Arabidopsis thaliana: one gene and its partners. The protein of the gene in region 3 purifies or fractionates together with the protein of the main gene of each other region. This does not show direct contact. Each region holds a gene or a part of one and is shown on either strand. Other genes may lie near its edges.

Evidence for each region.
Region 1: the proteins of AT2G40650 (region 3) and AT4G02840 fractionate together in Arabidopsis thaliana (co-fractionation; one large-scale study listed by BioGRID). This does not show direct contact.
Region 2: the proteins of AT2G40650 (region 3) and AT5G08180 fractionate together in Arabidopsis thaliana (co-fractionation; one large-scale study listed by BioGRID). This does not show direct contact.
Region 4: the proteins of AT2G40650 (region 3) and AT3G07590 fractionate together in Arabidopsis thaliana (co-fractionation; one large-scale study listed by BioGRID). This does not show direct contact.

The regions. Positions count from the first base shown.
Region 1 is NC_003075.7:1,262,535-1,267,645, forward strand, and holds AT4G02840 (Small nuclear ribonucleoprotein family protein), read left to right. Parts: upstream 1-2,092; 5' UTR 2,093-2,191; coding exon 2,192-2,205; intron 2,206-2,329; coding exon 2,330-2,406; intron 2,407-2,599; coding exon 2,600-2,629; intron 2,630-3,367; coding exon 3,368-3,559; intron 3,560-3,651; coding exon 3,652-3,719; 3' UTR 3,720-3,925; downstream 3,926-5,111. Other genes in the region: AT4G02830 (uncharacterized protein), read left to right, coding at 1-8, 106-195, 347-503, 1,059-1,148, 1,277-1,398; AT4G02850 (phenazine biosynthesis PhzC/PhzF family protein), read right to left, coding at 4,001-4,108, 4,198-4,281, 4,400-4,561, 4,639-4,968, 5,049-5,111. UniProt on the Arabidopsis thaliana protein: Involved in splicing regulation.
Region 2 is NC_003076.8:2,630,504-2,635,977, forward strand, and holds AT5G08180 (Ribosomal protein L7Ae/L30e/S12e/Gadd45 family protein), read right to left. Parts: upstream 3,348-5,474; 5' UTR 3,176-3,347; exon of another isoform or gene 2,933-3,175; 5' UTR 2,872-2,932; coding exon 2,739-2,871; intron 2,631-2,738; coding exon 2,561-2,630; intron 2,421-2,560; exon of another isoform or gene 2,267-2,420; intron 2,163-2,266; exon of another isoform or gene 2,021-2,162; intron 1,914-2,020; exon of another isoform or gene 1,797-1,913; intron 1,700-1,796; coding exon 1,594-1,699; intron 1,502-1,593; coding exon 1,340-1,501; 3' UTR 1,013-1,339; downstream 1-1,012. Other genes in the region: EMB1873 (porphyromonas-type peptidyl-arginine deiminase family protein), read right to left, coding at 455-544. UniProt on the Arabidopsis thaliana protein: Required for ribosome biogenesis. Part of a complex which catalyzes pseudouridylation of rRNA. This involves the isomerization of uridine such that the ribose is subsequently attached to C5, instead of the normal N1.
Region 3 is NC_003071.7:16,961,799-16,967,753, forward strand, and holds AT2G40650 (PRP38 family protein), read right to left. Parts: upstream 4,001-5,955; 5' UTR 3,799-4,000; coding exon 3,509-3,798; intron 3,314-3,508; coding exon 3,192-3,313; intron 3,102-3,191; coding exon 3,011-3,101; intron 2,921-3,010; coding exon 2,800-2,920; intron 2,705-2,799; coding exon 2,631-2,704; intron 2,160-2,630; coding exon 1,790-2,159; 3' UTR 1,488-1,789; downstream 1-1,487. Other genes in the region: AT2G40640 (RING/U-box superfamily protein), read right to left, coding at 74-162, 239-296, 397-478, 674-899, 995-1,400; AT2G40660 (Nucleic acid-binding, OB-fold-like protein), read left to right, coding at 4,213-4,275, 4,571-4,669, 4,884-5,054, 5,209-5,274, 5,471-5,536, 5,662-5,784, 5,877-5,955. UniProt on the Arabidopsis thaliana protein: Probably required for the first pre-mRNA cleavage reaction catalyzed by the spliceosome.
Region 4 is NC_003074.8:2,421,032-2,425,723, forward strand, and holds AT3G07590 (Small nuclear ribonucleoprotein family protein), read left to right. Parts: upstream 1-2,019; 5' UTR 2,020-2,114; coding exon 2,115-2,128; intron 2,129-2,267; coding exon 2,268-2,344; intron 2,345-2,422; exon of another isoform or gene 2,423-2,558; coding exon of another isoform or gene 2,559-2,571; coding exon 2,572-2,763; intron 2,764-2,865; coding exon 2,866-2,927; 3' UTR 2,928-2,956; downstream 2,957-4,692. Other genes in the region: AT3G07580 (uncharacterized protein), read right to left, coding at 146-244, 350-402, 575-625, 851-997, 1,433-1,464, 1,581-1,630; AT3G07600 (Heavy metal transport/detoxification superfamily protein), read right to left, coding at 3,269-3,657, 3,737-3,815, 3,918-3,923. UniProt on the Arabidopsis thaliana protein: Involved in splicing regulation.

The DNA of each region.
Region 1 (5,111 bases), on a different chromosome or scaffold from region 3:
AACATCAGGTTTATATTATCTTATATCTAAATTTTTTCTATTTGAATTTGTTATTTTTTTCTCCTATTCTATATCGAAGTCGTTGTTAATTAAATTCTCACATAGTTGCAGAAATATGTCAAGAACCACCATCACCACGGCAACGGTGAATTTCGTCGGCCCGGGGCACCTCCTCTTAGACAAACATTTCCTTTGGTATTTCTTTTCAATCTTTTTTTTGGTTACAATCTCTTAACGGTATTGGAGGAAATATCATTATGGACATTAACGTATGTATTTAAACATATCTTATATATTTTCAAACTAAAGCTCAAATATTTTGTATATATATTTTTGTGTGTTGAAGAACTATAATACAAGACAAAAGCACCAAAGCAATTGGCAAAGGAGTAAAGGAGAGGATCGTATGCAAGCATTTTTCTTGGTTACACCGGGCCGTACAACTTCTGGCACCGGAGTTTTTCTTCCAGCCACGGCTTCTCATCCACCCACCAAAAAAACAGGTTATTTATTAATTACTCTATACTAAGTATTTATGAACACAAATAAAGGTGCATAATGTTTTCAATTTCATAAAATCAATTCTACCAACTGCATATACTAAAATTCTTTTAGTTTCAGGTTAAAGTTGATTTGACATGATTTTTAACTTACATTTTGTCGTTAAGTCGTTTTTTTTTTTTTGAAAATAATGTTCAAATTATATTCAAAAGAAAAATAACTTTTTTACAACCACTGCTTCTTGAGATTGAAGATTTAGAGCTAGACAAAATTTAGAAGAATTTGAAAATTTTTGATGATTTTTTTTGTCGTTTTTTGTTTTAAACATATATAAACACAAAAACCTCAATTCTTCGATTACTACGAAATATATCATGGATTCATACATCTATTACCATTTTTTTCTATCTATTTCGTAGCTTTTGTAGGACAATTGACATAAAGAAATTGTGATTTGTTGGTTTTTACGTTAGTCAGCCTTTACTATATAGACTCATTAATATATGATTTAATGTTATACAATTTTGATTGATGAAAACAAAATTCTCTTGTCATAGCTTGCTCACCGGTGCTTCTCCCGACTCGTGTAGTTCAAGCACTCAATCTTAACATTCACAACAACGGTATCCATATTTCTCCTCGTCCAGGTTCTTTTCCAACCATTATTTGTTCTCATCGACCGTTATTCAAATACATTGTGTTATATATTACAAATTAGTTTGAACTATAGATATATTTTGGTTGAAATTGGTAACATTGTTTCTTTTGAATGTAGAAATTAGAGAAAATGATTCGAAGAAGAAGAGCGAAATGTTGGCAACAACACCTATCAAGATTGAAGCAGAAAATCCTATTGATTCGCCGGAGAAACTTCTCCCCGAGGAATGGATTTATTGATGACCCAACCATTAGTATGGAAAAGTAGAATCAAATAAAATAAAATGAAAGATTCTTGTGTTGATGTTACAAAAGAAAAGAAAAGATTCTTGTGTTGATAAGAAAAGAAAAGATTCTTGTGTTGTATGCTTCGTCACCATTGGATTAGTAATAAAAATCCAAATAAGAGACTCTGTATATTCCATTCATAATGTAATATCCCCTATTTTCAGTTGAAAAATTTGCATAATTTAGTTGTCACAATTATTAATGGATTTAGGAAAAATTGGATCAACAATACCAAGATGAATGACTGGATTCGAACACCAACGTTACTATTGGGCTAAAAGGCCGAATCAAGAATACTAAAACCTTTTGTTTTTTTACTATTTAGCTAGCTAATGATGAAATTTTTTATCATTGTATTGTTAATTTTGACTAAACAAAAGTTTTAAACAGTTTTTTTTCAAAACTAAACAAAATGTGATTGATAAAAGATAAATTTCTAAAGTGAGTGATTAGATTCCGCAAATCAGATTATTTGAGTTAATTATTCTGTTTCTTTCATTTGGGGTTGTTTTTGTTCAATAAAAAGTTGAGAAGGGTGTTATTGATAAGTTCAAAACAAATAGGGTATAACCAAACATTCAAGGAAGTAAGAGACCGTCGGTGTGAAGCAGAATCCATAATTGGGGACTTAAACATAAATTCCCCTATTGCTGCTTTTCCTCCTCCCGCTCTTGCTTCTTGCCATTGCTGTTTCGAGCTCTCCTCAAAGCCCTAATTTTCTCCTCTTCTTCTTCATTCTCTCACCATGAAGCTCGTCAGGTATGGTTTCTACTCGGATTCTCTTTATTTCTTCGGTTTAATTGGAATTTGCTTCGAAATTTTGAGATTTCTCTTTGTTTTCATGCTCTTCGATGTTTGATTTCGTATCTGGATTTTTTCGCAGGTTTTTGATGAAATTGAACAACGAAACAGTTTCAATCGAGCTTAAGAACGGAACCATTGTTCATGGAACCATTACTGGTACGCTTCTCTTAAAAACCCAGCTCTATTCGCTGTTTAGGGTTTTGTGTAAAATCTACGATGCTTACCTGTAATCGATGGTTACTCGCGTATTCACAAATTCTGATGGTGTAGTTTGAGTTTAGCTAGTGTCTTTCCCCTAATAATGCTTTGTTGGTATTAACCCTAGTGACACTGGTCAAGTCAGATGCAGATGAGTACACTAGATTTTACTTGAATCGAGGTTTATGAGATAGTTTAGTTCTTCTTCAAACTTTGATCACCCATGAGGTAGTTTACTTTCTCCTTTGATGGTTGTAACCAATGGAGCTCTCGAATTTACTAATTCTGATGTGTAATTCTGTTAATAGACCTAGAAATGCATTGTGGGTGTTGAATCTCTCTTGTTTGCAATAAGTGAATGATAATGGTGGTCTAGTCAGATGGAGATGATACATTTTATTTTGCTTTATAGTTGGGTGTATGAGAATGCTTAGTTCTTCTGGGAGTGAGTTTAGCACATGATTATATATGAGATAGTTTACTTTAGTTTCCCTCTTTATCATTGTGGACCTCTCTTGTTAACAAATCCTGAGGCTTAATTCTGTTATTAGTGATAGTATCTGAAGAAGTTAGAGTTTAGCTGAGTCTTAATTATTTTTTTACCTCGAAATGCTTTGTTGGTAACCCTCTTGTTAGCAAGAACTGAGTGATACTTGTCGAGTCAGATGCAGATGATTAGATTTAGCACATGAAAGTCACTCTTATCTCTTTCCTTGTAAAGAAAATCTCTGATTTTTCACAGAACAGTTACCGTGTGGCTTCTTGTTTCAACTTCTCTTTTAGTCTGATTGATCTAATACAAGTGGTCTCTGCTGTTAATGTTTGGTTTGGTTTCCTTTTTCTGCCATCATCTTGTTTAGAATGCAATTATCAATCAACTCACTGACTGGTACTATCTACTTGTGATGACTTAATGCAGGTGTAGATGTTAGCATGAACACTCATTTAAAAGCTGTGAAACTCACTCTGAAAGGGAAGAATCCAGTTACATTAGACCACTTAAGTGTCAGGGGAAACAACATTCGCTATTATATTCTTCCGGACAGTTTGAATCTGGAGACTTTGCTGGTTGAAGACACTCCAAGAATCAAACCCAAAAAGCCAACTGCAGGTAACAAAACATTTCTTTTTTCTGAACTATGCCTTTGTTTTTGTTTTTGTTTTTGCTTAGACTCATCTTTCTATTGTTCTCTTTGGTATCAGGTAAGATTCCAGCAGGTCGGGGACGTGGTCGTGGAAGAGGTCGTGGACGTGGCCGTGGTGGTCGTTAAGCATTTTGCAGTAATCAAAAGTCTGGTCCTTTTTGGTTTGTAACAGCAGGATTGTAAAAGATCTATCTTGTAGTGAGATTTGGTGTCACTAAGACAAATTCTTGTTATCTCTTTAAGTTTTCATGAATTTGAGATTTGAAACGTTATTGCCAAACATACATCACTCAATATGTTTTATTATTGACTTGATCACTTTATTACATAGTCTGATAAAACGTGGGGAGTTCGAGAAATCAAAATCTTGACCTTATTTTTCAAGACTTTGGCAAAGAGTCGAAAGATTAAACTAAGATAGAGCCTTTCATGACAGTCACAGCTTTCCCGGTAAGCAAGACTCTCTGCTTCTCCTTATCATAATGAACCTTGAGTGTTCCACTTCTTTGCGAAGCCTGAAAAGAAATTCGTTGATTCGTTAATATGTGTGATTATTTCTTGCTTCGAAATGTTAGTTAGCTAGTTACAGAGAAAGATGAATTACCGCAAAAGCGACGAAATCACACTTGTTCATCTTGAGGCTCCAGTAATGTGCTAATGAACAATGTGCACTTCCACATACAGAGTCCTGAAGGAACAAAAGCACCAAGCAAATAAGGTAACGGTAAACACTTTTGGTAACGGCTACCACAAGTAAAAAGCAGAGAATTGCTCCCATGCACGAAGTTGCAGGTTAGTTTCTTAACCTCATTGAGCCCTAGTTTAGGAGCAAAGAGTCGACTGCAGAAGTCAAAAGGAGATCCTTGAGGAGCAGCAGCGGTAACAATCATCACTTTGCCAGGGCATTTCACGATATCATCCACTCTTGGCTGAAATTCAATGACAGATTCCCAAGATGAAAGCACAACCTGTAATCAAATCATATAAATAAGCAAAAAATAGAAAGTTCACAAGTTTTCTTTCTAAGGAAATCTGAAATACATACGATGATTTGGTCTGTTGAAGTTGTTTTGAAAGCTCCTATCAAGGGTTTAAAGATGAGTCTATCAGTTTTAGTTTCTCGAACATCGACAATGGTAGCTCCATTCAAGGCTTTAGAGAAGATGGAGACATCCTTGGAGCTGTACTCACAAGTTGTAATCACAGGGAAATTCATTTCGATCAAGAAAGATCTTTTAGAGTCACAATCAGACAGCCTTTTAGCGGTTAGAATCCCCGAGTTGGTGGAAAATTCGACAGTGTCAGATGAACCAACCAAACTGTTTGAGAAGATACTATGAGCTGATGCTAGTGTTGCATGACCACATATATCCATCTACAAAATCAAATAAATCGAACATTGTACAAAATGGAACGGAGGGAGTAATAAAATACAAAAATGTTTGCAAGATGGACCTCGGCTACAGCCGTGAACCACCTCAGAAGGAAACGTGGTGGTTCGGAGCCGGGGATGGGAAT
Region 2 (5,474 bases), on a different chromosome or scaffold from region 3:
CCAGATTTCAAAATCACAAAAGTGGTTTGAGGTTTGATTCATGTATTCAGTGATGAAACAAATCGAAACAAACAACCTAACTGAAAATGCTTTAAATTCTGATTTGGTTGCAGAATCTGTAACCATGATAGATTGCAATGTAAAAGATCTCATCTCATGTCACATCTAGATGCTAACTTGACATACAGAAGCTATACAAAATTTATCGGAAACTCTACAAAAACGAACCAGGAAGCAGAGAAATCATCAAATAAACAGAAAACAGCAATTCGAACAATGATAAACTACGAGCAGGATCCATATAAAAAAAAAAAAAGGACAAAATCGAAATCGAAGTTTGATTTTTGAACAGCGAGATTGAGTTCTCCAGAATCGCCGTCAATTTTTACTTTATCTCAGGTTAATGAATAAAACATGAAAAAAAAAGAAAAGAGGAAGAGAGATAGAGAATTACAGGCCAACCGATCCAAGTTTGAGCATGAGAATCCCATTCCGCCGGCATGTAGTAGCCGTGTTCCGCCGGCGATTCTCGTGACTCCTCCATTCTTCACGATGTTTTTGTGAGAGAGAAGTCAGATGTAAGCTTTAAACTGATGTGTATACCGTATGCGTTATTGATTCCTAATACTTCTTTTTCTGACCAAGAAGAGAAAAAAAAAGAAAGGTACACAAAAAGATTCCGAAACAATTTCTCAGTTTTCTTAAGAGACCCGTATAGAATATATTTTCTTACAGTTGGACCCCATCTTTTTAACTATTCGACTGAAACTTATGCTCATTACACGACCGGGCACGACCCCACTATTAGTGGTGAGCGGAATCAGAATCCAGAGGCGAGCAGAATCGGAATCCTAAACCCAATCTAGTGACCCAAACACGACAAAAGTTGTTTTGATATTTTTCTTTTTCTTTTCTTGTTTTTATTGTCATTTCAACCGTAATCTTTCATTTCAACAAACTTCTAACATAACAATTCAAAAAGATATATAGCTATGCCAAATAAAAGTTGTGTATAACTTAATGTTGATTATTAACAAAAACTAAATTAGTCTGTATAATAAATAATGATGTAATAACCAATCGATAGCACGAAGACATGACTAAGTACTGACCACGTAAGGAGACAATGACTAAACACGTAAGGAGGAGATTTAAAAAAACGCCATAAAGAGAGCACTAACCAGATGAAACCATAGGATTCATGATTCAAACTTTTACAATCGATTAGCGCTACAATATCAAAAACCTTAAATAGTCCAAAGTAATATCCGATGCCGTAAATATGATGATATTCATTAACCATCAAAAGCACAAGAGGAACACCCATTCTAGTTTCTAATCAGATTACAGAAGTTGCTAGCTCCTTAATATCGTCAGAGACTTGTTCGTAGTCTGTCTTTAACTTTGCAAGTTCTTCTGCAGTTAAATCTCCTTTCGCAGGTTTAAGCATTACCAAGACACAACATGTTGGTCGTTTCGTTGCCCCTGCTTGCGCAAGATCCTGAATTTCATAAAAAAAATATTGAATATCTTAGCACCACAAAACCGATTAATTGGTAAGATGATAGAAATCAAGAAAGAAAATTGGCTTACTTCTTTTGAAGGAACGTATACATAAGGAACACCAGCCTCCTCACACAAGATTGGAAGATGAGTAATAACATCAATAGGTGAAATGTTTCCAGCTATTACACATAATCTGCACAAACACAAACGTATCACATCAGATACAACATTCAAAACATAAAAGAATTTACTGTTTGCGTAGAAGAAGGAAAAAACAATTAGAAATGTAAAAATGTGGGTTCAAATCAGGCCCGCAAATCAAAGAACCAATAAGGAACTCAGAGCAGGCACAGACATTTGAAACCCATGATTCAGTTTCCGTGCACAGTACCATGCTACAATCATTCTGTTTAATCCAGAGCATCGGCTTAATTGTACACGGATATAACATCAACTATGCAAACAACTATCATAACATCAATGAAAACAAACATAATAAGTAACAAAAAGCAGAGAATGTAGATCTAAACCAGGCCGTCTCATCACGAAAAATCAGAGATGGCAGACATGTCGATCTATAGTTTAGTTTCCGTGCACAGTACCATGCTTCCTTCATTCTATTTTAATCCAGAGCATCGGCTTAATTGTAGACGGCTTTCAAAATCAGCTAAATAAAGAGCTTACACTAGTAGATAACATCATGAATGATCATAGAAGAACATGTTACCGTTTTCACAAACATAATCACAACACAAACAGAGAATGTGGATCTAAACCAGGCCGTCTAATCAGGGAAAAAATCAGAGATGGCAGACATGTCGATCCATAGTTCAGTTTCCGTGTACAGTACCATGCTACATTCATTACTTTAATCCAGAGCATCGGCTTATTTGTACACGGATTTCAAAACTAACTAAGCAATTTGCAGGACAATAACATCAACTAATCAATTAATAACACAAAACATCAACACATATACATCAGCTAAGCCATCTGCAACACAAAACAATCATAAATCACACTCAATAAAAAGACAAAGAATGAAAAAACTAACCCTTTCTGGCCTCGTCTTATGCTCTTAACCACTTCTTTAACTCCTCTCTTCAAACATTTCTTCCCAGCAGCTGACAAAAATTACAGAGCAATACACCAACATGAGCTACTAATCAATATATAATGAGAAATAAAGAAGATAGAGAGATGTGAAGCGAGCTTGGAACTGAGATTGGTACCTTTTTGAATGAGTTTGAAAGTTCTCTTCTGGAGTTTTTTGCCGGCGAGAGGTTTAGCGATAGGAGCAAGAGTAATAGCGTACTTCTTCTTCTCCTTTTGAATCGACTTCTCTGCTTCGGTATCGCTTCCCATATTTTTTAGCTAGCTAGCTCCAAGTAACAAAAATAATGGCGGAAGAGTGTGGCGGAAAAAACTAGGGTTTAGGCGGTTGTTATATGACCAGAAGTGTTAGGGTTTTTATAGAGAAGTGTATTATTGACCAGTAAAATATAGGAACCCTAATTTCATATGGGCTTGTTAATGAGGTAAACTGGTTGCATATAATGGCCCAATTATTTGGGCCTTCATACAGACTAAGATTTGCTACATTCATTGACTTTTGACTTTGAGATATTGTATGTTGTTTAGCTTGAAAATCAAAAAAATCAAATCCGACCAAAAAAAAAAAAAAAAATCAAATTTTCCTTAAGATAATGTTAGTTACTGTAGCTGGTGAATGTTATTTAACCACATTCTCGCAAATAAATTCCAACGATTAGTATGAGGTTTTTTATCGGATGCTCAGATGAAAAGACTTTTTTAAAAACTTCACCAAGTGATTTTGCTTTATCCATGACATCCATTATCTATATATATTACCAAAAAACAGTATGATTCTATTACCAAAACGTGTTTCTAACTTGCTTGAGGAAATGTACAAACAACTAACAAAAAGCCATAAGTGAAGATTGATGTTTGGAGCTTGAATGTCATTGTCGGGTCAATAAGTACGTAGGAATATCATGGGGATGGAGATCAGTGTTTGCGTTAGCAATTAACAATTTTCGGTTTCATCATATATAGTAGAAAATAATGAACTTAATCACAAAACAAAACAGTGGATAATCCAAAAAGCAGCTCAAGGCATGGCAGAGTTTACATATTTTTGGAGTGAATTGATTCTTGTTGTTAAAAACTCAACATCAAATCAGCTTCATGAACTTGAAACGCTTCTAAAGCATAGATATCAGAGTGAAGGATTAAGAACAAGTACCCACAGATGTCATCCTCGCTTCACCACTGATACATCGCCTACTACAATATATAGGAGACTGCAATTGATTTCACTGGTCCAGAGAAAGCAAATTTAGATGCCAACTTCTATCTCACCTACAAATGTATAAAGGGCATTGTTACAAGAACACAGGAAAATTTGTACCGATTTATACAATGGCAAATTTGTACCGATTTGTACCTACAAATGTACCGATTTATAAAGAGAAATCTTGCATGTTGGAAAAAAGCAAGAAAATTTTGAAGCTAGACTTTTTGATACATGAAACAAAACACAACACTTTTTCAGGAACATTGTTTGGTCAGACGAAGTAAGCAACCTACAAGAATCTGAACTTCTTTTTAATTATCCAACGCCAAATCTACTTGATAAACATTAAGATAAAGCTAAGGCGCTTATCAGTCAACTACACACTTCAATAACAAGCACTTCATTAACTGAAAAAACAAACAAACTAAAGAGGTCGAATTCTCACCAGAAACAACAGTCACCTCTTCATCTGCTCTCTAAGAACACAAAATCCTCAGCTTTCCCAGAAAAGTAATCGGACTTGACTCTGTTTTCCCTCACTTTTTTCTTCTTTCAAAAACCAATAAACAAAAAGATTCAAGTCAATAAGAAAGATACAAGAGGCAAACGCTGGATGCAGAGGTTTATCGATCTATTCATGCTTTTACATTTTTAATGTGTTCACAGGAAGAGATCGATGAACCGCTGCCTCCAGCGACTCTCACTCTTCTTCCAACTAAACTCCAAAATGTCAACGAAACATAAATTTTCCGAATCGGATCAAACGAAACACATCAGATCTGAAAATTCAACAGTCAAAATCTATACCACAAGTAGTAAATAGCTGGATCTTTATTGCCTTATGAAACCAAATGGACAAAAACATATACCCTAGATTACACACATGCATCTGCAGACAAACTGGGAGAAAGAGAATCAGTGTGATGATAGAGATATGTCAAATTAATGAATCCAACAAAGAAAGAAAAAGGAAACAGAGAGATGAAAGTTTTAACCAGGAATCTTCTTGACCAGATACCATTTGTGATTCTCTGATTTGCCTATTGGCCTACTACATCCCTCCTCTCTCTCTATCTTTTAATAACAAACTTTATAGATCTGGTTTTTTCTTCTAGAACTAAAATGTATTTGATTCATATTTATAACTAAAATGTATCTAAAAGTCTCATAACATATTTGTCCAAGAAAAAATTGTAGTAACATAGTTATTGAATTTGAATATCATAAGATTTAGGAAGACATTTTAAAAATCATATTTGAATAACATGTAACATGAATAACATACTAAAAAGAAGAATGACATGGAGTTGGAAATAAATCAAACTCTTACAAAATACTTCAAAATTCAATACATCCCCTAATTTCTCTGATTAACCAGTGGACTAAAAAGCGGATGATTTGTTCAAAACCAAAAAAAAAAAAAAAAACTTGGGCTGAAATGGGTCGTGTCTGCTGCAAGCAAGCCTACATATGTAATGTTCGGTAAAAAGCCCATTTCATTTGTCTTAAAAAATAACGAAATTAGATCTTACGCGCCGTCAATCACTTTAAGGCAAAAGTGAAAGTCACGCACTTACTTCTGGTCTTATGTTTTTTTGCCCTAATCGACTTCTGCGTAGAGAAACCGAAAAAGGAGAGAGAAAATCCGCCG
Region 3 (5,955 bases):
AAGAAACTCTGCTTATCTGATTTCTCACTGTTAATGTAATCTCACATGATTACTGTGTATTGGAAAAACAAACCTGATCCGACCTTTCTTTCCTTCTTTTCAGCGTGTGAATATGATCTGAATCTTCTTCTTGGCGGAAAGCATGAACTACAATTCTGAGAGCTGAACAAGCCAATAAACTTGATCAGGAAGAAGAATAGAAGTCTTTCTCTGAAACTAGTAATGCCGTGAAACTCACAGAGATTTGGCTTTTCTGATCCTTCTAAAGTAGGTTGGGAACATGTGAAACATGCTTTCTAACAACAAAAATTACCAAAACTCAGATTATTAAGATTCACATGAGACAAAAGCAAGAAGACCCTTATTAAATGGACTGGTTAAGAGTCAGTCATATACCATTTTTTTAACTTCTTTTAATCCCCCGGCGCCAAAAGAATGTCCACAAGGCAGTATGGTAGCATCATTCATCAAGGCTCCGCTATCCAAACCAAAGTAACAGAAAAGAAAAATCATCTCTATGAATGTTAACAAGAATTAGCCTTCTAGACGATACACTTTCCATCACACAACAATAATCATCAAGGTTACATTGACATTGACTCAGATTCAAAAATTAAACTGATCTTAGTTATCAAATTCCCTGACCATTGACAAGCAGACTTAACAAACTTACGTGACAGGATCAGAGAGGATGGCCTTGAGAGACTCCCAAGAGCTGACACTAGTAGTAGTGACTCTCTCCTTCTCCACAGAAGCAAAATCTCGCTTTTGTTGCGTGTTACGGTGGGAATTAGATACGTTACCATCTGGTTTAGTGATCCTCACCTTAAACTCCATTTCATGTCGATCAATCGTTGAATTACCTTCCCCATCTTCTCTCACAACCAGTTCCCAACCAACTGAGCTTAAGTAAAACCAAAGAATTTTTCGTTAGCTTCAACAATCTTGGAATCTCCGGTAGTCGTGAAAGAAGTAATGTAGAGTATTATTATACCTGGATTTTTACTTTCTCTGTTGGTTTCTTCAGCTGCAGCAGAATCATAATTGTTACCGGAATCAATACCAGGCTGAATCAGAGCAGTTCGTCTTCGGATAGAAACGTCGTACTCTTCATCATCTCCATCGGAATACATGGTTTCATCTTTCTCAATTCTATTTCCGCAGAAACCTTGCTGGGTTCTGAAATGGCGATCGCCGACGGTTTCGAGCTCCCGGATCTTAGTACCTGAATCTCCCACACGGAAACGCAAAGATTCATCTTCAACGTGGAATACGAACCGAGGATCGATACTGTCGTTAACGGACATTTGCTTTTCCGCCGGAAAATTCAGAAGGCGATCGATAGAGACTGGAAGAGCACAGAGAGAGAGTTTAAAACGACGTCGTCGTAAGTGGGACATGAGTAGCACGCGCGTCGTGATGGTTAATGATTATGAAACCGTATCATTTACCTATAAGCTTTTGGTGGGTCCGATTTACATGGACTCATAAAGTGATATCGCCACGTAGACATAACATATAGGTTTTTATATTTATCTGAATTACCTTAAAAACAACTAATATCAAGAACCGGGTTACATTCAGAATTTCTCGACCACAATTCGTTTACGGTTTAGAGAACATACAGTACAATGCCATTACAGATTCTCCATTTTGTTCTACATTAAAGAGGGATCAGGTAAACTCAAAAAAACCAAAACTATAGTGAGTAGGATCACAGTGTAGTAACCGGTTTAGCTGGGCAAATGAACCAAGTTTCGGTTTGATAAAGATGTCCTCATTTCACAGTTCAGTCCCTGAGGGGTTTCATTCCCAGTGATGCTCTCAGTCTATTCATCTCTGCAATTTCAGGATTTGGATGATCGGTTCCATCTTCCTTCATCTTCTCCTTCTTTTCTTTCTTTTTCTTAGGTTCTTCCCGATCCCGCACATCATCAGTTTCATGTCTCTTACGATCCCTACTCCTGCTTCTACTTCTGCGCCTTGCCCTGTCTCTTCTGTCTCGTTCTCTATCTCTGCCTCTTTCCCTGTCCCTATCTCGCTCTCTATAGTGATCCCTGTCTCTCTCCCTATCCCGGTCTCGACCATGCCCACGTTCTCTTTCATAGTCTCTGTCATGATCTCGATCCATATCATAGTCTCTGTCATAATCACGATCCCTGCCAATCACAGAACCATGGTCAAATTATAATTCATGAAACAATGAGCTCAAGTCTCAACATCAATCATAATGAAAATCTGTAACAAAAAGAAAACATTGATTGAGCTAAAAACTAGATGGGAAGTGCTCTCATGATTAACTGATCTTTTTCAAAGTAACACAATGACAACTACCATATACTGTATCAGGGTAAGGATTGTAATAATGTCTGATCCATAATACTTCTCTCTGAACACTGTCAGTACAGAGAAACCTGGAAGGATCTCTACAAATTTAATTTCGGAAGCTGTATCCAACCGCTGATGGCTTGAGATGCCATAGTGGAAACAGACACTCAAAAGACAGAGTACTAGACATGATGCAAGAGCATTAGCTAGATCAAACAGCTTCCACAATCACAAAGAATTTTTTTTTGAAAAATGTTAACTAGCATAGAAATGTATCTAGTAAAGGTCACGGATTCAGATACCTGTGTCTATGACTGTCGCGTCTCCTGTCTCTGTCTCTTTCTCTTTCTCTTTCAGGACTCTTACGGCGCTGATCCTGTAAAAGAGGAGGAAGATGGTATCATCTTAGAGCTGCTAGATAGAAACAGAAAACAGATCACATAAAAACTATTGCAGAATGAAAGCACTGACCATCTCATCTTCAGATCCATCAGCAATCCCTTCATTCTCCTCCTTTTCTTCCTCTTCTTCAAAGTCGTCTTCCAAAACACTTTTCCTTGGCTCTAATAAACCATTCTGTTCAAGCGTCCACCTATCATCAGAGTGAAAAATTAACCATCTTAAAATACTGCAGAAACCAAAAACTAATTATTCAGCTTCAGACAAATGCAAAAGAAGAAACCTTTTCTTCAAACGTGGCATTGCAATATCACAAGAATAATCCTTGGTTAGAAGTTCCTCAATGACTTCGTCCACATGTGTCAGCGAAAACTCTATTCCAAACCAAAGAAATAAATCTAGTTAGTGAACAAATCAATCAAAAGTTAAACACAACGGATCCATCGAAAGAAAATGAAACTTACTCCCATCAGATAACTTTTGTCTCACTTTCCGGTAGTCATTGTAGAGAGGTTCGAGGTAGCGATAGACATCAACATCAGTCCCAGTGAGACGCAGATAGAACGCACCAAGAATACGAACATATCTGCAGAAACCAAAAGAGTAAATATTTCAGTAATTCAAGAACAAATATCTGCAGAAACTAAGAGAGTAGATTATCTAAGACCAATAGATTTGAGAGACATTCCATACCTGTATACTTGAGAAACAACTACGACAAGGCTAATAGCAGTATCCAATCTAGATTACGCAGAAATAAGCTTTTGGTTAGAAATCTTACTTGTAGTCATCATTTTTTATGAACTCCACGACAATTTCCTTCTCAGGCTGGATTTGAAGCATCTTCAATATGAGGCAAAGGAACGGAGTAGGCTTGCGGCTACCACCAAAGGTACCACCTAGATGGTCGAGCTCCATAGCTTTGTCCACCAATGTCTCCGCCGTGAGACCAAAGCACTGCTCCTTCCAAAAGGTGTGCTGATAAATCTTCGTTCGCACAATCTTCTCTACCAGATTCTGCGGATTCGTTCCTCTTATATTCTTTGCCAACGGATCTGTTCTGTTTGCCATTATCGCCTGAAGTTAATCAGAAACTGCCTCAAAGGCCTAGTCGTCGGAATAATAAACGTCGAGCGACGCCGCTTCAGTGAAGCCGGAATCGATGAAACAGCTTCCACGAATTTGCCGTCGTCGAAGACGAAGACACTCTAGGTCTTTGAAGAATCTGAGAAGTTAATTCATTTATTTTATTTTATTAATGATTGCTTTCGGTGGTAAAGCCCATAGTAAGAACATATTAATGGGCTGCTAATATATCTAGGCCCATTATAGATGGAGATAACGCCGTTAGTTGGAAGTCCGTTAGGACCGTTAGTTACATCAAGCAAAAACCCTATCGAAGAAATTGCAGTGTGTTTTCTTACAGCGAAGAGCCCCAAAGAGAAGAACAAAATTTCGAAAATAGAGAAAGAGAAGAAGTTGACGATGGATTCAAAGGCGAAGCAGATGATTCTTTCAGCTCTCTGCAAACACTTCTCTTTGGATCCTGTAAGTATTGAAGAAGATGACATCTCAAAAGCTTCTGCTTTTTTGTGAGGTTTTGCTTGGTAGCTGAGTATGTGTATGATCATTTTTTGAATTAGTTAGTGGAGAAAACTCGAACATTATCTGATTGGGTACTGAAATCAATTAGAAAGTTTATGTTTTGGACTTATCAGTGTTTACGCTTATGCATCAAGCTGGTCATGAAAAAGGAAAAAACTTTAGAAATTGGCTTTTATGATTTTACATTGTGATGATTTATTGGTTCTGTTTCTGAAATTGATTTGATTCATTTGTTTAGGAACCTTTTGTGGGCGGAGCGGGTGAAAGTGATATCAAGACACTTTATTCTAATGTATTGAAGGCATCTGGAAAGGAAGTATCTGCACAAAACAACGATGTAAGTCGTTTCTTCTTGAATTTGGTTCCTATAGACATAAACGCCAAACTCTTACTGGGAATTTATTGAGTTCCCTTCTCGTTGCTACCACGTTAGAAAAAAAATGAATTAGTATGTTTGAGTTCTGTGTAATGCTAAATGATGAGGATTCGTTGGCTTTCGTTTGCATAATGCGTCATTGTTTCACATTTTAAAGAGTAAAAACCTATTTCAGGTTTTGAAGTGGCTAGATTTTGCGGAAGGTTTCTCTTCAGATTCAAAGGATTGGTTTTCAGCTCTTGAAAAGTTGAATTTAGAGTTAGCTACCAAGTCAGTGCTCTTGGGAAACGGATTGACGCCATCGGCAGCTGATGTTGCTGTGTTTTCAGCTCTGCATTCTTCAGTGGTACCACTTCTCTATATTCCGTAGTCTACTTATTTTTCGTTCCTGTATAAGTAATTTTATGTTACTTGATAAAGATGCTACGATCAAATTTTCATAAACTGATGACTAAAGGTATTAAATACTAACTGTTATCTGTTTGACTTGCTGTTCCCAGCTTGGCCTCTCAGATTCAGACAAGGAGAAAGTACCACATGTCATAAGATGGGTGAATTACATCCAGGTAAGTTCGACATCATAAAGTTTTGTTACTTGATTGCGCCGAGGTAGCCTGTAAATCCATGGAGGACTACTTTATGTGTACGCGTAACGGCGTTAGTGACTATAGCTAGATATGCACTCTCTGAACATCACCTTTCACATTTTTCTTTCCTTGTGATTGTCTGCTTTACGAATATATGCTGCGTATTATTTTACAGAATAAAGAAGAGTTGTCGACATTATTTGCACCAATACCTGTGAAGCTACCAGAATTTAGCTTCGAGGTGAATTATCTTTTCATACCCATTTTCTTAGACTGAGAAACAATAATAACATGCTACTTTTTTCAGATGTATTACATGCGATGAGAAAATGGTTTTCTGATCTTTTTCATTTATTCTAAACGTAGGTACCAAAACCTGCCATTAAGGTGGAAACAAATTCTAATTCAAAAAAAGCTGCAGAAGGTGTAAAGCCTGTTGACAAGCCAGATGTGCAGCCGCAGCTGGGCACAAAGAAAACTGAGCCAGAGGTACTTATTTTAACTTTTAAGTTTGATTTCAATGACTGTGAGTCTCTTTAATTAGTTGAATCTGGTGTTCTCCTCTGTCCTTTTTCGTGTAGGAACCAAAGAAAAATGCAGCAAAAGAGAAGGATGCCAAAAAGGAAAAGAAGAAGCCTGCTGAACCAGAACCAGCTAAGA
Region 4 (4,692 bases), on a different chromosome or scaffold from region 3:
AGAAAACAACCGATCCTGACAAAAGCAATATCTGTTATCCTACACACACACAATATAAAAGTCATTGACATACCACCGCTTGTGCCATCTCAACAAACACCATTTCACTAGTCTATATGGGCTCCATCATCTGAACAAGAACCATTCAATTGTTGGCTTTTGGCATCAGCAATCCTCGCCGCACTTCAGTCATGTAATCCGTTGGCGATGGAGGAGGTAATGTCTTGTTTGCTGCAGCCAGGATCTGTAATTGTTTTGACACAAAACAAGAGATGGGGTCTCATCATTCATGTACTCACATCTTTAGAAAAACTAGAAGCATATGATAAGAGTTTGAAGTTAGTTCCACCTGATGAGGTAGTTTACCCCAAACACTCCCTCCATAGTACATGATTGGTCGCACTGTGAAACAGAGAAAGTAGGCAAACTTGAAAATCAGTTATACTTGACTAACCGGAAGACAGAGATCCAGATAAGAACATAGATATATCTGATTGTATTTGGAGGCAACTCAAGCAGCACAAGTATAATAGACACAAAGGACAAAGGAAAACTTAGAATCCCTTAATCTCACCAGATAGATCCACAGTTGGGTCGTCGTATTGATGCATTTCAGCTGCCCATCCTGTTCATGACAAATCAAGAGCACGTAAATAAGACAAGTACATAAAACTGACTGCATAAGCAGTGAATTCAACACACCTTATCTATTAAGTTCAAAGATTTCTAAAACTAGCACTGACTCAACAAATGCTTAGCATAGCAACAGTTGATAGAAGAACGACCAGATAGTGATACAGAGCAAAGAATAAACCAGCTAAATGTTTAAAGAGATAGTTCAGATTTATACGTTGGCTCATGAGCTGATAAGCTGCACTCCTGGAGCAGTCCTTTATTGTTATTATCCTCTGGGTCTGGGATATGTTTTCCATCTGAAGACCAGTAGCAGGAGGCTGATTTCTCTCATTATCGTTGTTCTGTTGGCTACTTGTTCGATCTGCATTTCACTCTTTATTTAGCCAAGAACCATAGCATACTAGCAAAACCAGATATAGCTTGAACGACGATTTATTTTCAAGAAAACAGGCAAACAAATGGGTCAAGTACACACATGGAGAAATGAATCAACCAGCGGATTTGCTAATAAAGAGAGAGCGAGATCTGAATTTCAGGCTAAACTCCTAATAATTCACTTTCTTAGAAACGGTTCTTGAAGTTACCAACTATGCACAAACACAATGTGTACAGATTCGCATGCAATCAATTCCTGAATCTACAAAACAAGATTACTTCTATTCATCGACAATCTTTGATCTAAGCTATAATCTCCACAGAACTAGATACTCTCGGAATTAAGAACCGAATTGATTAAGAATCAATAAAGAACGACTGAGGCAAAGAAGACAGAGAGAGAGAGAGAGAGCTCACATACCTCCCGACTTCCGGCGATTCCCAGAAGCCTTCCTGTGACACGGAGAAGCAACATCGAAAGGTAAGAACGGAGTAGCGAAATCAGTAGAATAAAGAACACTCGAAATCAGCAGATCAAAGACCACTGAAGAAGAAGAAGAAGAAGTTACCTTTGATTAGGAGGAGTGTATCGATTCTGATTGGAGCTCGAATCCGCCATTGACGAGTTAGGATTTACGCAGTTTTTTCAGAGAACTCTCTCTCTCTCTCTCTCTCTCTCTACCGGAGGAGATCTGTCAACAGTCAACTGTTTAACGCATAGAGAACGTTGAAAAGCGTCTTCTCGTCTGAAGTCGTTCAATCTTCACGCGCGAATTCTTCGACGCGTGTTTATCAACCTCTCGCGCGCTTTTATTACGCCTTTCCGAAATTAACGTTTCGTGTTCAATTTCCGGTTTGCTGAACCAACTGTATGTAGATTTCTGGTTGAAACATCTACTGGTCCACCATTGGACTTTATGGGCCTTACTACATTTTTGGGCCCAATATTGTAATTTAGCTGATGGATCCAAAACCGGAATCGGATCTGTACCCGCTCCATCGTGAGGTCTCTCACAGCGAAAGAAGGGTTTTGAGGGTTTTCACACCTTTCGCTGTTTCCTCGTCAATTTCTTTGTTTGGTTGTTCTTTCTTCGCATCCAAAGATGAAGCTCGTCAGGTACTGTTTCGTTCTCAGTTCTTCTTTTCTTTAGAAAATTCATGTTGTTCTTAATCTTAGTTAGCTCCTGGCATGGAATCCATTCCCAATATTGAGCCTGAGCTGATTTGTGTTATATGGTTTTGATTGGATCGAGTAGGTTTTTGATGAAGTTAAACAATGAAACTGTGTCTATCGAGCTGAAGAATGGGACTGTGGTCCATGGAACCATCACTGGTAAGTTCTTATTGTTAGCTTCCGGTTTCTTTGTAGCTCTTCTCATCTTTTCTTCTCTCTCGATTTCTCCGTTGCTAGGTCTTATACAAGTCGCGATCTGTTCCCTTATTTTCAATTGGCCCTAATCGCGTCCTTGTGATCACATGAATAGGTTGAGTAAACACACAGTTAGAGCCAGTAGTCATAAAGGTATATTTATTGAAGTTTAAGCTTGATGATTTGGGCAGGTGTTGATGTGAGCATGAACACTCACTTGAAGACAGTGAAGATGAGCCTGAAGGGGAAAAACCCAGTAACACTTGATCATCTTAGCTTGAGGGGTAATAATATTCGCTACTACATTCTTCCTGATAGCTTGAACCTCGAGACTTTACTTGTGGAAGACACTCCTAGAGTTAAACCTAAGAAGCCTGTTGCTGGTACTGCTTCATTCATTTTTGGTGTTTGTAATATTCGTCTTCATAAGCTAAAAGACTTCTTTATCAGTCCATTTATTCGTTCTCTCTTTCTTTCTTCTTTAGGGAAAGCTGTTGGACGCGGTCGCGGACGTGGCCGTGGGCGTGGTCGCGGCAGAGGTCGTTAGATGTAGCAGCGCTCTGGAACATGTTGAAGGTTTGTGAGTTTAATTTTTAGGAGAATGTACGAGTTATGTAACTAGCAACTCTGGCAAAGGAAAGATTTGATTGAGAAATAGTATGATTGATGCTCTAGTAAGGAGTTACTTTGTAATGGAATTCCATGGATAACAAGATTTGGCTTTACATGTTATAAGAGCATCTACAAGTAGAGAATTTGTGTGATACTGATAGCTCAAGACTTTTTATTCATTTAACAAATCTGACTATCAAATTGCATTAACATGTTGACAATCTTAGTATAGAAAAACTGCTATCTCCTCCGTTAATCTTCCACATGAAACCTATCTCACATGATCCTGCAATTGGGATCTTGATTGTAAACGGGTTCCCCGATCTGATTGTAGGGATCACACGGGTAGGGATAGGAAGATGGCACACCATATCCATCATGAGGCCATGGTTGATAACATGGCTCAGGTTTTTGCCATGGTTGACAACATGGCTCAGGTTTCTTCTCTTCAGGTTTCTTCTCTTCGGGTTTCTTCTCTTCGGGTTTCTTTTCTTCTTCTGGCTTTTTGTCACCATCCTTAGGTGGTTCAACTTTAGCTACGCTAACAAGCTCCGCAAATGCAACTTTTTTCCTGAGTGTGTTGATTAGAGCAATCATATCGACTTCAACACCGGTCACCTCAATCTGGTTCCTGTGATCTCCCTTTATTTCCACAGCGTTCACGCCTATAAACCAATGCGATAAATCTTTAGATTCAACAAGAATTACAATCATCAAGTTCTCTAGTGTTTGTATCATTGTTACCTTTAAACTGAACCGCAGTTTTCATTGCCTTTGCTCGAGTTGTGTCATCAGTCATAGCAATTCTTATCAGGATCTTTTGCTGAGTACAATAAGAGAACTCCTTAACATCACAAAGAGAAGTCTCTCTCTTTCACAAGAGAATCGAAGTTATTACTTGTTGTTGAGTACACAGGAGACATACCTTCATGTTATTGTCTTCTGAGAATCCGCGTGATTTGTTTGATGGGAGTTTGCTCCGAACTTTTTTGTGTCTTCTTCGATCACAAATTAGAGGAAATATAAATAAGGATCGATTTTATATATTCATTTGTTCCATGAGTCGTTGTCTCACACAACGGAATCCGATAGTTTGAATATCGTTGTCAGGTTCATATCTTCGGTCCTTACGTGTTTTATTGGTTCTAGTTGCCGATTCGTACGAGCTTATTACCAATTTTTTAATTTTAAAAAGCCTAACAAAAATCTTTATTTGATTGAGTCAAAAAATTAGATGAAATAGTTATTTGACTGGGTCAAAATAAATTGATTAAATAATGGTAAACAACACAAATAATATTTGTTTACTACACCGTTGCCTGGTAGTTTTAGACATGTATGGCAAAAGACTTAATAATTTTTGAGTCGATATGTCAATTATGATGATTAATAAGTTTTGTTTGTTCATCATCCAGTTGTGCATAACAATGAATAGAACAGATGCGTTAAAAGTCTTGGTCTTCTCTAGAGTACATGTTTCCCTCTAACTTCCTTCTCAATAAAAAAAAAGATTAACTTGACTACTAATCTGTCATCCATCTGTATTAACAAATGTTATATGCTTGACTTGCAATACGTACTTTCGCAATCATATTGCAGTTTTCTAACGTAATGAAACAATAAGCTTTTAGTTTATACTAATGTGTGTTGTCTAATGCTAATTTGACTTTAATTTCTTAACACATTACACATTGATGATG